Oryctolagus cuniculus: one gene and its partners. The protein of the gene in region 2 interacts with the protein of the main gene of each other region in a pairwise test. Links are inferred from orthologs where the notes say so. Each region holds a gene or a part of one and is shown on either strand. Other genes may lie near its edges. The genes, in order: MPP2, LIN7A and PALS2.

What was found.
Region 1: the proteins of LIN7A (region 2) and MPP2 interact in binary tests that used the Homo sapiens proteins (3 or more experiments, as listed by UniProt). The two-hybrid records come from large-scale screens. The link is inferred for Oryctolagus cuniculus from reciprocal best matches to the Homo sapiens genes LIN7A and MPP2.
Region 3: the proteins of LIN7A (region 2) and PALS2 interact in binary tests that used the Homo sapiens proteins (3 or more experiments, as listed by UniProt). The link is inferred for Oryctolagus cuniculus from reciprocal best matches to the Homo sapiens genes LIN7A and PALS2.

The regions. Positions count from the first base shown.
Region 1 is NC_091448.1:19,289,427-19,292,467, forward strand, and holds the end of MPP2 (MAGUK p55 subfamily member 2), read left to right. Parts: intron 1-185; coding exon 186-362; 3' UTR 363-2,395; downstream 2,396-3,041. UniProt on the Homo sapiens protein: Postsynaptic MAGUK scaffold protein that links CADM1 cell adhesion molecules to core components of the postsynaptic density. In CA1 pyramidal neurons, required for synaptic KCNN2-containing channel function and long-term potentiation expression.
Region 2 is NC_091442.1:83,607,906-83,611,561, reverse strand, and holds part of LIN7A (protein lin-7 homolog A), read left to right. Parts: intron 1-510; coding exon 511-729; intron 730-3,656. UniProt on the Homo sapiens protein: Plays a role in establishing and maintaining the asymmetric distribution of channels and receptors at the plasma membrane of polarized cells.
Region 3 is NC_091447.1:16,512,995-16,516,334, reverse strand, and holds part of PALS2 (protein PALS2), read right to left. Parts: intron 2,687-3,340; coding exon 2,510-2,686; 3' UTR 1-2,509.

The DNA of each region.
Region 1 (3,041 bases), on a different chromosome or scaffold from region 2:
CTGTAGAAAGTGAGATGGAATTAATCCTACCTTGCAGAGCCCTAGTGAGGGGCGTGGCACTTTCTAAAGCCAGGCCTGGTGGCCTGCAGGGAGGGACTCCTGCCTGGACTCTGGGGAGGAGGATGGAGCAGGCTATGGGAGTGCGTTGTGGACGCTGACCTGCTGTTGACCCCCGTGCCTGGCAGGAGGCAGACCTCAGGCGGACAGTGGAGGAGAGCAGCCGCATCCAGAGGGGCTACGGCCACTACTTTGACCTCAGCCTGGTCAACAGCAACCTGGAGAGGACCTTCCGGGAGCTGCAGGCTGCCATGGAGAAGCTGCGGACGGAGCCCCAGTGGGTGCCCGTCAGCTGGGTGTACTGAGCCTGTCCCGGGACCCGAACCCGTCCCCTGCTCCCCTGTGACTCCAGCCACCATCCTCAGCCCCCGTCCCCGGCTCCCTGGCTTGCCCTGGGTAGCAGCCACCAGCAAGCCCTGAGGTCTGGCTCCAGCAGAGAGGCGAGCACTGCCAGGGAGGTGGGTGTTCGTGGGGCACCTCTGTGCCCAGGTGCTGCCCACTCCCGATGTCCATTGGCTACCAGATGTCCCTGTCCAAGGGCCCAGCCATGCCCAGGGTGTGTCAGAGTCTCCTCCGCCTGCTCAGTGCAGAGATGGGAAATCTGCTTTGGGACCACGTGGTCAGCAGGTGCACTGTCCCAGCCACCTCTCCCCAGGCACCTTTCCTCCTCCGGACTGGCCACAGCCCCCAGCTCCAGGGCCCCTGCATGTCTCACCCCTGCCTCCCGGTGGGTGGGGCTGGCCTTGGTCCTTGTTGGCCTGGGCTGGGGGAACGGGCGGGACTGCTCTCAGCTCGGGGAGGGGCAGGGACCAGGAGTGGATGTGGCCTTGTCCCTCCTTCCTCCACAGCGTCTCACTGCCTAAGTCTCCCCTCAAACTTCTCCAGCGAGTCCCTGCTGGGTCAGCCCCACCCCTGGGGGGGGGGAGGCGAGGCTGGCGGGGCTGGGTGGGCTCAGCCAAGGGAGGGGTGGCTGGAGCCTGACCCTGTGACGGGGAGCCCTGGGCGCTCCGGGGTGGGCCGGGTCTGGTCGCCCTGCCCGTAACCTTTGTCCAGGCTCATCTTCCTGGTAAGGTCCAGGTGGCCCACTTGGGTCAGGGCTGCCCCAGTGGGAGGCCCTGGCCTGCCTGGCCATGGCCCCACACGCTGCATTGCTCTGTGGATCTGGCGCTGACGTGTGTGTGCATGTGTGTGTACGTGTGTGTGTGTGTGTGTGTGTGGCTTGGTTGGGGGAGGCTTGTTTTCTTTTAGAGGCCCCTTTTTGGGGGTTCCCTGTCAGCCCCCGTTTCTTATGAGACCCTGCCCCAGATTCCTGAGCCTTGGTCCTCCTTGGGGTCTTCCTTTTCTGATTGCCCCCTCCCCGCCCTAAACGTCACCCCTCAGTCCCTGGGAGGGCAGTGTTGTGAAGTAGACCCCCTGTTAAGAGAAGTGCTGTCCTGGATGACCCCAGGCACCTGCTCCCCCTCCTCGTCTGTGCTCCTGCCCCAGGTGAGCCTGCCCTCGCCAGGGACCCCAGGGGACCCCTGCCCCGTGTCTGGTCAGTTGTCACCATGGTGTCAGCCAGAGCTGGCCCCTGAGCCACTGTGTGCCCGTGTCCTGGGGAGGGGAGGGAGAATGAACAGAATTATTTATTACAAATGTTAGAAATATATTTATTATATTAGAACCTCATTTTACATTTGCATAAGATATGCAAATGAGAGGTAAGGGTCCACCTGCTCCCATCTCATTTGCATAGCTCTGCATACACTATGCAGTCATCTTTATACTCTTCTTTGCCCCCAAGTCAGCCTCTCTTTTGTGCCTGATTCAGCTCTCCCTGTCTCACCCTCATCCTCACCCTCAGCTTAAAAGGGCCTGGAGTGGGAAGAAGAGGGGTCATTTTCCTGCTGACTTGAGGCTGTGGGGTAATTGCTGGTCCCACCTCTCCTGCTGCAGCCACCCCTCCCTATTGGTTGGTGTGATTCTGGCAGCTTTGCTACTGGTGGTGCCCAAGGGGTGGGGCTGGGTCCCTCCTCTTGGGGCTGAGCCCATGCCAGGCCCGTCCTGGGTACCCATCAGGTGGGGGTGGAGTCCCCATCACCTGGAAGGCGCTGGGGCTGTGTGGACTGGAACAGGTGTGTGCCCACCGTGTTTGCTCCATGGCTGTCCTCCTCTCTCAGAGGGGACCTGAATTAGGGGGACTGCAGGAGAAGGAGGACCCTGCCCACTGCCCACGCCCACGCCCACGCCCAGGCCAAGCCCCAGCCCCGTTGCCTCCCCTGCCCCTCTGGAGCCATCACTTTCTCGAGTTTTCTCTGTGTTTTTCTCTTTTCCTTTGATTAAATGAAAAAGCAAAGGCTTCTGGGCTCTGGGTTGCTTTTGTTTTAGATCTATGTATTTGAAAGATTTTCCATCCTCTGCTTCACTCTCAAATGACTGCAACATCCAAGGCTGGGCCAGGCGGAAGCCAGGAGCCAGGAACTCCATCCAGGTCTCCCACGTGGGTGGCAGGGGCCCAAGCACTTGGACCAGTGGCTGCTGCTTTTCCAGGCACATTAGCAGGGGGCTGGGTCGGAAACTGAGCAGCCAGGACTCAAATTGGCACTGTGGCACAATGCCATCCCCCTGACGTTGGGGTGGGGTGGATGGCTTTGGGAGAGGTTGAGAGCCTGGAAGCACAGCACAGATGGTTCTAGAATGCAGGTTGGAGCCACATGTCTTGTGTTCTGTGATGCCTGCCTCTCCCCATCCCACACTCTCCCCCCCCCCCCACCACCCAGGGACGAACTTGGGACCAACGTGGCAGGTGATCTGGAGGCAGCCGTGGGGTGCCCACCAGCCCCAGCTCACAGCTCTGGTGGGAACAGAGCATGGATATTAAATCTGCTGTTCTGAAGAGCCTCTGACCAGTCCCAGCACAAAGGGTGTTGTCCCGGGCAGCTTTTCTCCACTTGGGTCACAGCCTCCCACCGCCCTCTCTCAGATCTGGACAACCTTTATCCCAT
Region 2 (3,656 bases):
TTTATCATGATAAAGGTTTGCCTATGCTTGATCACCATCTAGATTCTGTTAGGTTTTACTATCTCCTATCTCTTACTATCCTAGTAAAACACTAGTGTAATCATTGTAGATTCTTAATAAACTACAAAATCTGATAGGACAAGTCTTCCTTTTCACTATTTTTAATGTTTTCAAAATTATCTTGACTGGCACACTTACCCTTCCAGATGAAATTTAGAAACTTCAATTTACATGTTAGCATTATCCTTGAGGACCTCACTGTGTGCCATCCCTCTAACTCCGAGTCCCATCCAATCAATTCTGGTTGCATTCTGGTGCAGCTTTACCCTGCTTATAGTCTGGCTACGGATGTAATAACTAGTAATAAATACTAATAGCATTAGACTCCATTTGCTGTACTTCCTGAAATTTCAACCCTGGGTCTTGACCATGATAACCAACTTCAGAATTGTTTCTTTCGGGTGAGAACACCGAAGCTTCCCCCTTTGAGAGATGTCACTGCCTTTGCAGAGCGTGGAAGGGGAACATCACGAGAAAGCTGTGGAACTGCTCAAAGCCGCTAAGGACAGCGTCAAGCTCGTGGTCCGATACACGCCGAAGGTCCTGGAGGAAATGGAGGCCCGCTTTGAGAAGCTGCGGACGGCGCGGCGTCGGCAGCAGCAGCAGCTGCTCATCCAGCAGCAGCAACAGCAGCAGCAGCAGCAAACGCAGCAGAACCATATGTCATAGGTGAGAGGTGCCTCCTGCATGGGAGAGGCCTTTAACCATCAGGGATATATTTTTTTAACCACAGTTCCTTAGATAGCCAAAGTAAAACGAATTGTTGAGTTACGTGTAATCATCCAAAAGAAAGTCAACTAAACAAAAGACAGTGTGCTCAAAATTTGCAAGCCAGAGTGTATGCGTCTGCCACAGGTGTGGCATCTTCTCCACAGGTGTGAGGTGTTTTAGAAAACAGCATGCAATTCTCTAGGAATCCGTTCATCCAAATTAGGAAATGCAGCGTCTGTGCTCATCCAGAGCCTTGAGTGTGAGTGTGAGCTGGATTCCAGGCACCACTCACCCGCCTTGTAGAATGGGCTTTGCACGGCGTTACACTGTGCAACCCAGTGCGGACCCTGGAAGAAGCTTCCTTAGCACATGGAGATGATCGCAGTTTATTAGGAAAAGACCCCACTGCAAAGAACATCAGCAAGATTCAGCTAGTGGCCGTGTTCTTCGAGATTTTGGAGCTCTTATTAAGTGCTCATTTAAAATGTGTCTAAGATGCCCCTGTCTTTTTCTAAATTCCTCCTGGTGACAAAGAGTATTAAATCAGGTTTTTGCTATACCTTTTCAGGAAAAAAATGTTAATATCAAGTCACTATGTTTGAATTGCCTGCTATTTGCTAAGCCCTTACCGCACGTTATCTGAAATGCTCAGAAAAACCCTTCAAGGCATGGACCATTAAAATTCCACTTTTTAAATAGATGATCTGAAGCTGCAAAACCTATCAGGATTTCCCCCATCACCGCACTTACAAAGAAAATAGGATTATTTTCCTGCTTACTCTACCAGGCGTTTCATCTGTCAACATCAGATGATCTGGAGTTACATAACTTTCCCTGTCTGTCCTTTGGAAATGACAGTTGAAAGTGCCTGCAAATGTGTATTTGAAATGAGGCTTTCAATTTTTTTTTTTTTTTGGAAAATAACAATAGGTAATGGTGGTTTAAGTCGTGAAGTATCAGATTACAGTTTGCACAGAAATATTTGATACAACATGATGCTCTCAGTTTTTGTAACACTCGTAAAGAGGAGTTCCCTCTTTACATCCTGCATAGGGAAGCTAAAAAAAAAAAAAATATATAGGACTTGTCCTTTGGCAGTCTTGGGATTCCAACAATCTATCTTTTATAACTAGCTAGCTTTATTATATTATATACACTGTATTTGATATCTCTATTTAAAATTACACTCTCTTATATTCCAAAATTACATTTATTGAACAATAAATATTTATCTGTTACTGCTAGGATCCAGGCACTGATTTAAAAGCTGCAGAAGCACCCTGAGCAAAGCACAGTTCTTGCTCTCATGACGACTACATGTTCACCTGGTTGGAGTAGACAGATCCATGAAAATATCCTGTTGGGACTAGTATTTTGCAGAGTTATAAAGGAGTGTTTCCATAGAGACAGGCTAGGTGATGACTCTAGACTGGGTGGCAGGGGAAGAACTCTCAGAGAAGGTGACAGTCAAGGTGGGGACTGAAGGGCAAGGGCAAACCAAGAAAGAGAAGGGCAGTTCCGTGGCAGACAGGGCCTGTGTGATGCTGGAGGAACGTAGCGAAAGCCCGAGTACTTAGATAATGGTGCATGAAAGGGCACTGGCGGATTACGAAGCCAGTGAGATCGCTGGGGCCAGGCCGCAGAGAGCTCCCTAAACCGCTAAGGGAAATTGGATTTTACTGCACTAGAGGCCACTAAAGGCTTTCAAGCAAGAGACTGACCTGATGTGATTTATGTATTAAAAAGACCCCACTGGCTGCTGTGAGAGTGGATCCTTGCTGGCTGGAGGCTAATAGAGAATATATGTAGAAGTAGTAGTGCAGGCAGGAGCGGGGGTGGCTTGGGCTAGGCTGATACAGTTGAGATTAAGGGCTGTAGTCAGGCATGGACAAGCCATCTTGTCCAAAGCCTTCTCCTGCTCTGATAATAATGCCAACCCACTAGTCTTAACCAAACACTGATGTTCTTTCTGCTGACACACAATTTCTTCCATCTTCAGTAATACAAATGTATACCAATTCCTTAAATTCATTTACCACATTGGCCCAGGGTAATGTTGTTAAGAAATATTTTGAAAGAGATATGTTGCCATCTAGACTTCTGCCATCTTACTAAAAGCTTCCAATATTATTATGTTCATTCAGTCATCTTTGGAAGTATACAACATGGACATAAATATTTGCTGGGCTGTGTACTCAGTTCTGTTTCTTTGTTCCACTAGTTTTTGTGAAATTACCTCAGAACCACCAACAATAACATTCTTAATAAAAGACATTTATAGACTATGCTTTTGCTTGCATAGTATGTACATAAATGTACATAAAATTTTATGTTTGCCAATATAGCATTTGCAGTACACTTGATCACAGTACCTTGAGACGAAATTCTAGTGGCCATTTCAAGAACAAGGAAAATACAATCAAGTCATGGCATTCATGAATTCAATAGTAAATTTGAGGAGGTCTCCATTAGCTCTTATTTAATTTTTAATTAATTAGATTTTTAAGGACTAGATGGGATTTGTTACACTTACCAACCCAAATTATCGTTGCTTTAAAAAAAATAGACTTGGGCCGGCGCCGCGGCTCAATAGGCTAATCCTCCACCTTGCGGCGCCCGCACACCTGGTTCTAGTCCCGGTCGGTCGGGGTGCCGGATTCTGTCCCGGTTGCCCCTCTTCCAGGCCAGCTCTCTGCTGTGGCCCCTGAGTGCAGTGGAGTATGGCCCAAGTGCTTGGGCCCTGCACCCGCATGGGAGACCAGGAGAAGCACCTGGCTCCTGGCTTCTGATCAGTGTGGTGCGCCGGCCACAGTGCGCCAGCCACGGCAGCCATTAGGGGGTGAACCAATGGAAAAAGGAAAACCTTTCTCTTTGTCTCTCTCTCT
Region 3 (3,340 bases), on a different chromosome or scaffold from region 2:
AGCTAGACTGAAAGGAACTAAACTGCATCATTTCCATTTATATTAGGACTCTAATATCCACTAATTAAATAGTAAATCATGGGGGCTGGTGCTGCGGCACAGCGGGTTAACGCCTTGGCCTGAAGTACTGGCATCCCACATGGGTGCTGGTTTGAGTCTCGGCTGCTCCACTTCCAATCCAGCTTTCTGCTATGGCCTGGGAAAGCAGTGGAAGATGGCCCAAGTGCTTGGGCCCTTGCACCCATGTGGGAGACCCAGATGAAACTCCTGGCTCCTGGCTTCAGATCAGCAGCTCCAGCCGTTGTGGCTAATTGGGGAGTGAACCATTGGATGGAAGACCCCCCCCCCCCCCCCCGTTTCTGCCTCTCCTCTGTGTAACTCTTTCAAATAAATAAATAAATCTTTAAAAAAAATAGTAATTCATGAACACCATTTATAGAAAAAACTCCTTTAAGTGGCTATTTTCTAAACAATATGCATTTCTATATTACATGATAAGGCTAAAATATTTATGAGGCAGAAGTCATCTCTACTGCACCAACATGGTTGAAATATTTTGCGGATCAACTTCTTGCACTGCTACAATTATGCCAAAGCTATTTAAACAAGCTCCACGCGGCAGTGCCAGGGTGCACCAGGGAATACCGCACATTTCCTGAGAGTGCAGAACTGAAATGTTTGTAGTGTGTTGAAACATTAAGTCATAGGATATCACCTCCATACTGTGTGCTTTGATGCGTGTTGCTTTGAGAAGCCAAGAATTTGGTAGAAATATATATGGTTTAAAAGCTTCCAGAGTTGACAAGAAACTGTCAACAAATTCCTGTCTCAGCACAAGGAACATGAATTTGTGTTCTTGGCTATGAAATTCTAGAATTAAAAAAATAACAAGAACCCTACAGATTTCTAATTTCAACAATACAGCAACTTGAGTATCATGAAGCGCTGTTTCTAAAACAGCCTGTGAGTACGGCTTGTATATTCTCTTCCCTTAAAATCCTCCTAACTGGCATGCCCCGTGACAGCTTTGGTGAAGGAGAAAAACTCAGCCGCTGGGCACCTGGTGCTTGTCACCAAACGCTAGTATCTGAGCACCTAGTGCTTTTAAGAGTGAAGATTGTGTGAGAAGCCAGCAGCAGTAGAAAATATAGTTAACTTAGTTTAATGATGAGCTGCATCTCTGAATGTGTTTCTGAATTTATGGCATCCAAAAATGCTAAAGGAAGATACTAAATGAGGTGAATGTGACAATTTGTACATTATATAAAGCCATCTACAGAATTTTTTTCCTAATCATTAAACCAAAAGTATATTCCCTAACAGAAATGTTAAAAATGTTCATATATACTATATAATATATAATACATATTATATAGTGTATATATTATGTGTGTGCGTGCGTATGTATACAACAGCTTACAGTTATTTCCAAATCGTGTAAATTGTTGAACTGATTTGGTTTTCAACACAACAAGGATATATACCCTAATTATCAAATCACATTTCAAAACACATACTGATCATTCACGAAAACCCCCAATTGCAACCTCAGAGGAATACCTCAGATATGTGTGGAGGCACGAGACTTTGGCGGACCACAACCTAATACACAACATATAAGAAAATCAAAACCTGTCCAAATTAGTAGGTTCACCTCTGTCCATTAAATTTGCGTGTGAAAATAAACTTTCTTCAAGTGTCACTTTGCTGCAAGGTTTTACAGGATAAGGCACTCTCAAGTCTCTGTGACCTTGTTTCCAACCCCAGAGCGTACCATGTGCATGTTAAATTAGTGAGTGTTCAGCATGTAACTACCAACAAATGAAAATAATAACCTCGTAAGAGAGGGCAAGGTATTGCTCATTTTCTAATGACATAAATGAAGGGAAGAACTGGTATCTGTATAAATTAGAGTGGATAGCCATACATGGCTGAAATAACAGAAATATGTGGCACTGGACAGACTTCTGATGTCAGATTTAGATGGTAGTAGACTGGCTGTAGCACTGCCATTAAAATTCTGCTTCTGTAGGATATTTAATTAAGAAGGAAGATCAATAACTACTACTTTCTCCTAAGAAGAGTAACGAACCCTTCACTGGTTAAATACTGAACTAAATGACAGCTTTACAAAACTATTTCAAGTATTCATTATCACAGTGAAAATGTGAGACCAATGTCAGAGTGAATGATTTGAAAATTCCTTTGATGAAAAAGGCAAGGGTACTAAATCAAAACATATACAAAATGCTTCAACGCATTTCTTTATGTGATATGAATAGAAAGATTATCCATAAAAAGTTAGAAAAATTAAGATAAATTATATATTAGTACACCTTCCCAACCACATTTTATATAAAAATTCAGAATAGTGTACAGTTATTTCATTCTACACAATAAAAATGCCTGGGCTTAGCAGGTATCTTCTATCTGTACATGTGTTTTTCTCAGCAGAAGGTTTATTTGTTCAGTCACTTTTCAAGTTTTAACTGTTGACCTTACTGAACTGTCAGTAAACCCAGCTGATTGGGACCCACTGGGGCTCCATCCTCAGTTTCTCTATGGCAGTCTGTAGCTTCTCAAAGGCTTTGTCTAGATTGTCATTCACGATGATCAAATCAAAATAGTGGTTGTAGGCTCTCTGAATCCGGGCACTTTCATCCACTGTTTTCTTCAAGTCAGAGTCCTGTTAAAAGCAAATGCTCGTATTGTAATACAGATTTGCTTGCTCAGATTCCAACAAAAAGTGCTTAAGAAATAAGTATGTTGGATGTGTGTGTATCATAATTCTGATATTAACCCTCAAAAACTACACAGAATGTTAAAAGACATTGCTGGGGCTGGCGCTGGGGCGTAGCAGCTACTGCCTACAGCGCTGGCATCCCACACGGGCACTGGTTCGAGTCCCAGCTGCTCTACTTCTGATCCAGCTCTCTGCTATGGCCTGGGGAAGCAGAAGAAGATGGCCTAAGCTTGGGCCTCTGCACCCACGTGGGAGACCTTAAGAAGCTCCTGGCTTCAGATCAGCGCAGCTCCGGCCATTGCAGCCATCTGGGGAGTGAACCAGTGGACATAAGACCTCTGTCTCTGCCTCCCTGTAATTCTGCCTTTCAAATAAATAAATATTAAAAAAGACATTGCTGCCTGTTCACATCCTAGTCTCATTTGCATTCATGTTTGCATTTCTAAGTATCTTCTATTTTCTGTTTCACTGATTTGAGGGTAAGATTCCTAATTAAAAGTCTACTGACAATAATCTTAGGGTGAACTGAAGGTAATAAAAGAATTATTGCAGATGACTGCTTTCTAGTTCAATGGTATCATCCTTTTAAGAAAGATT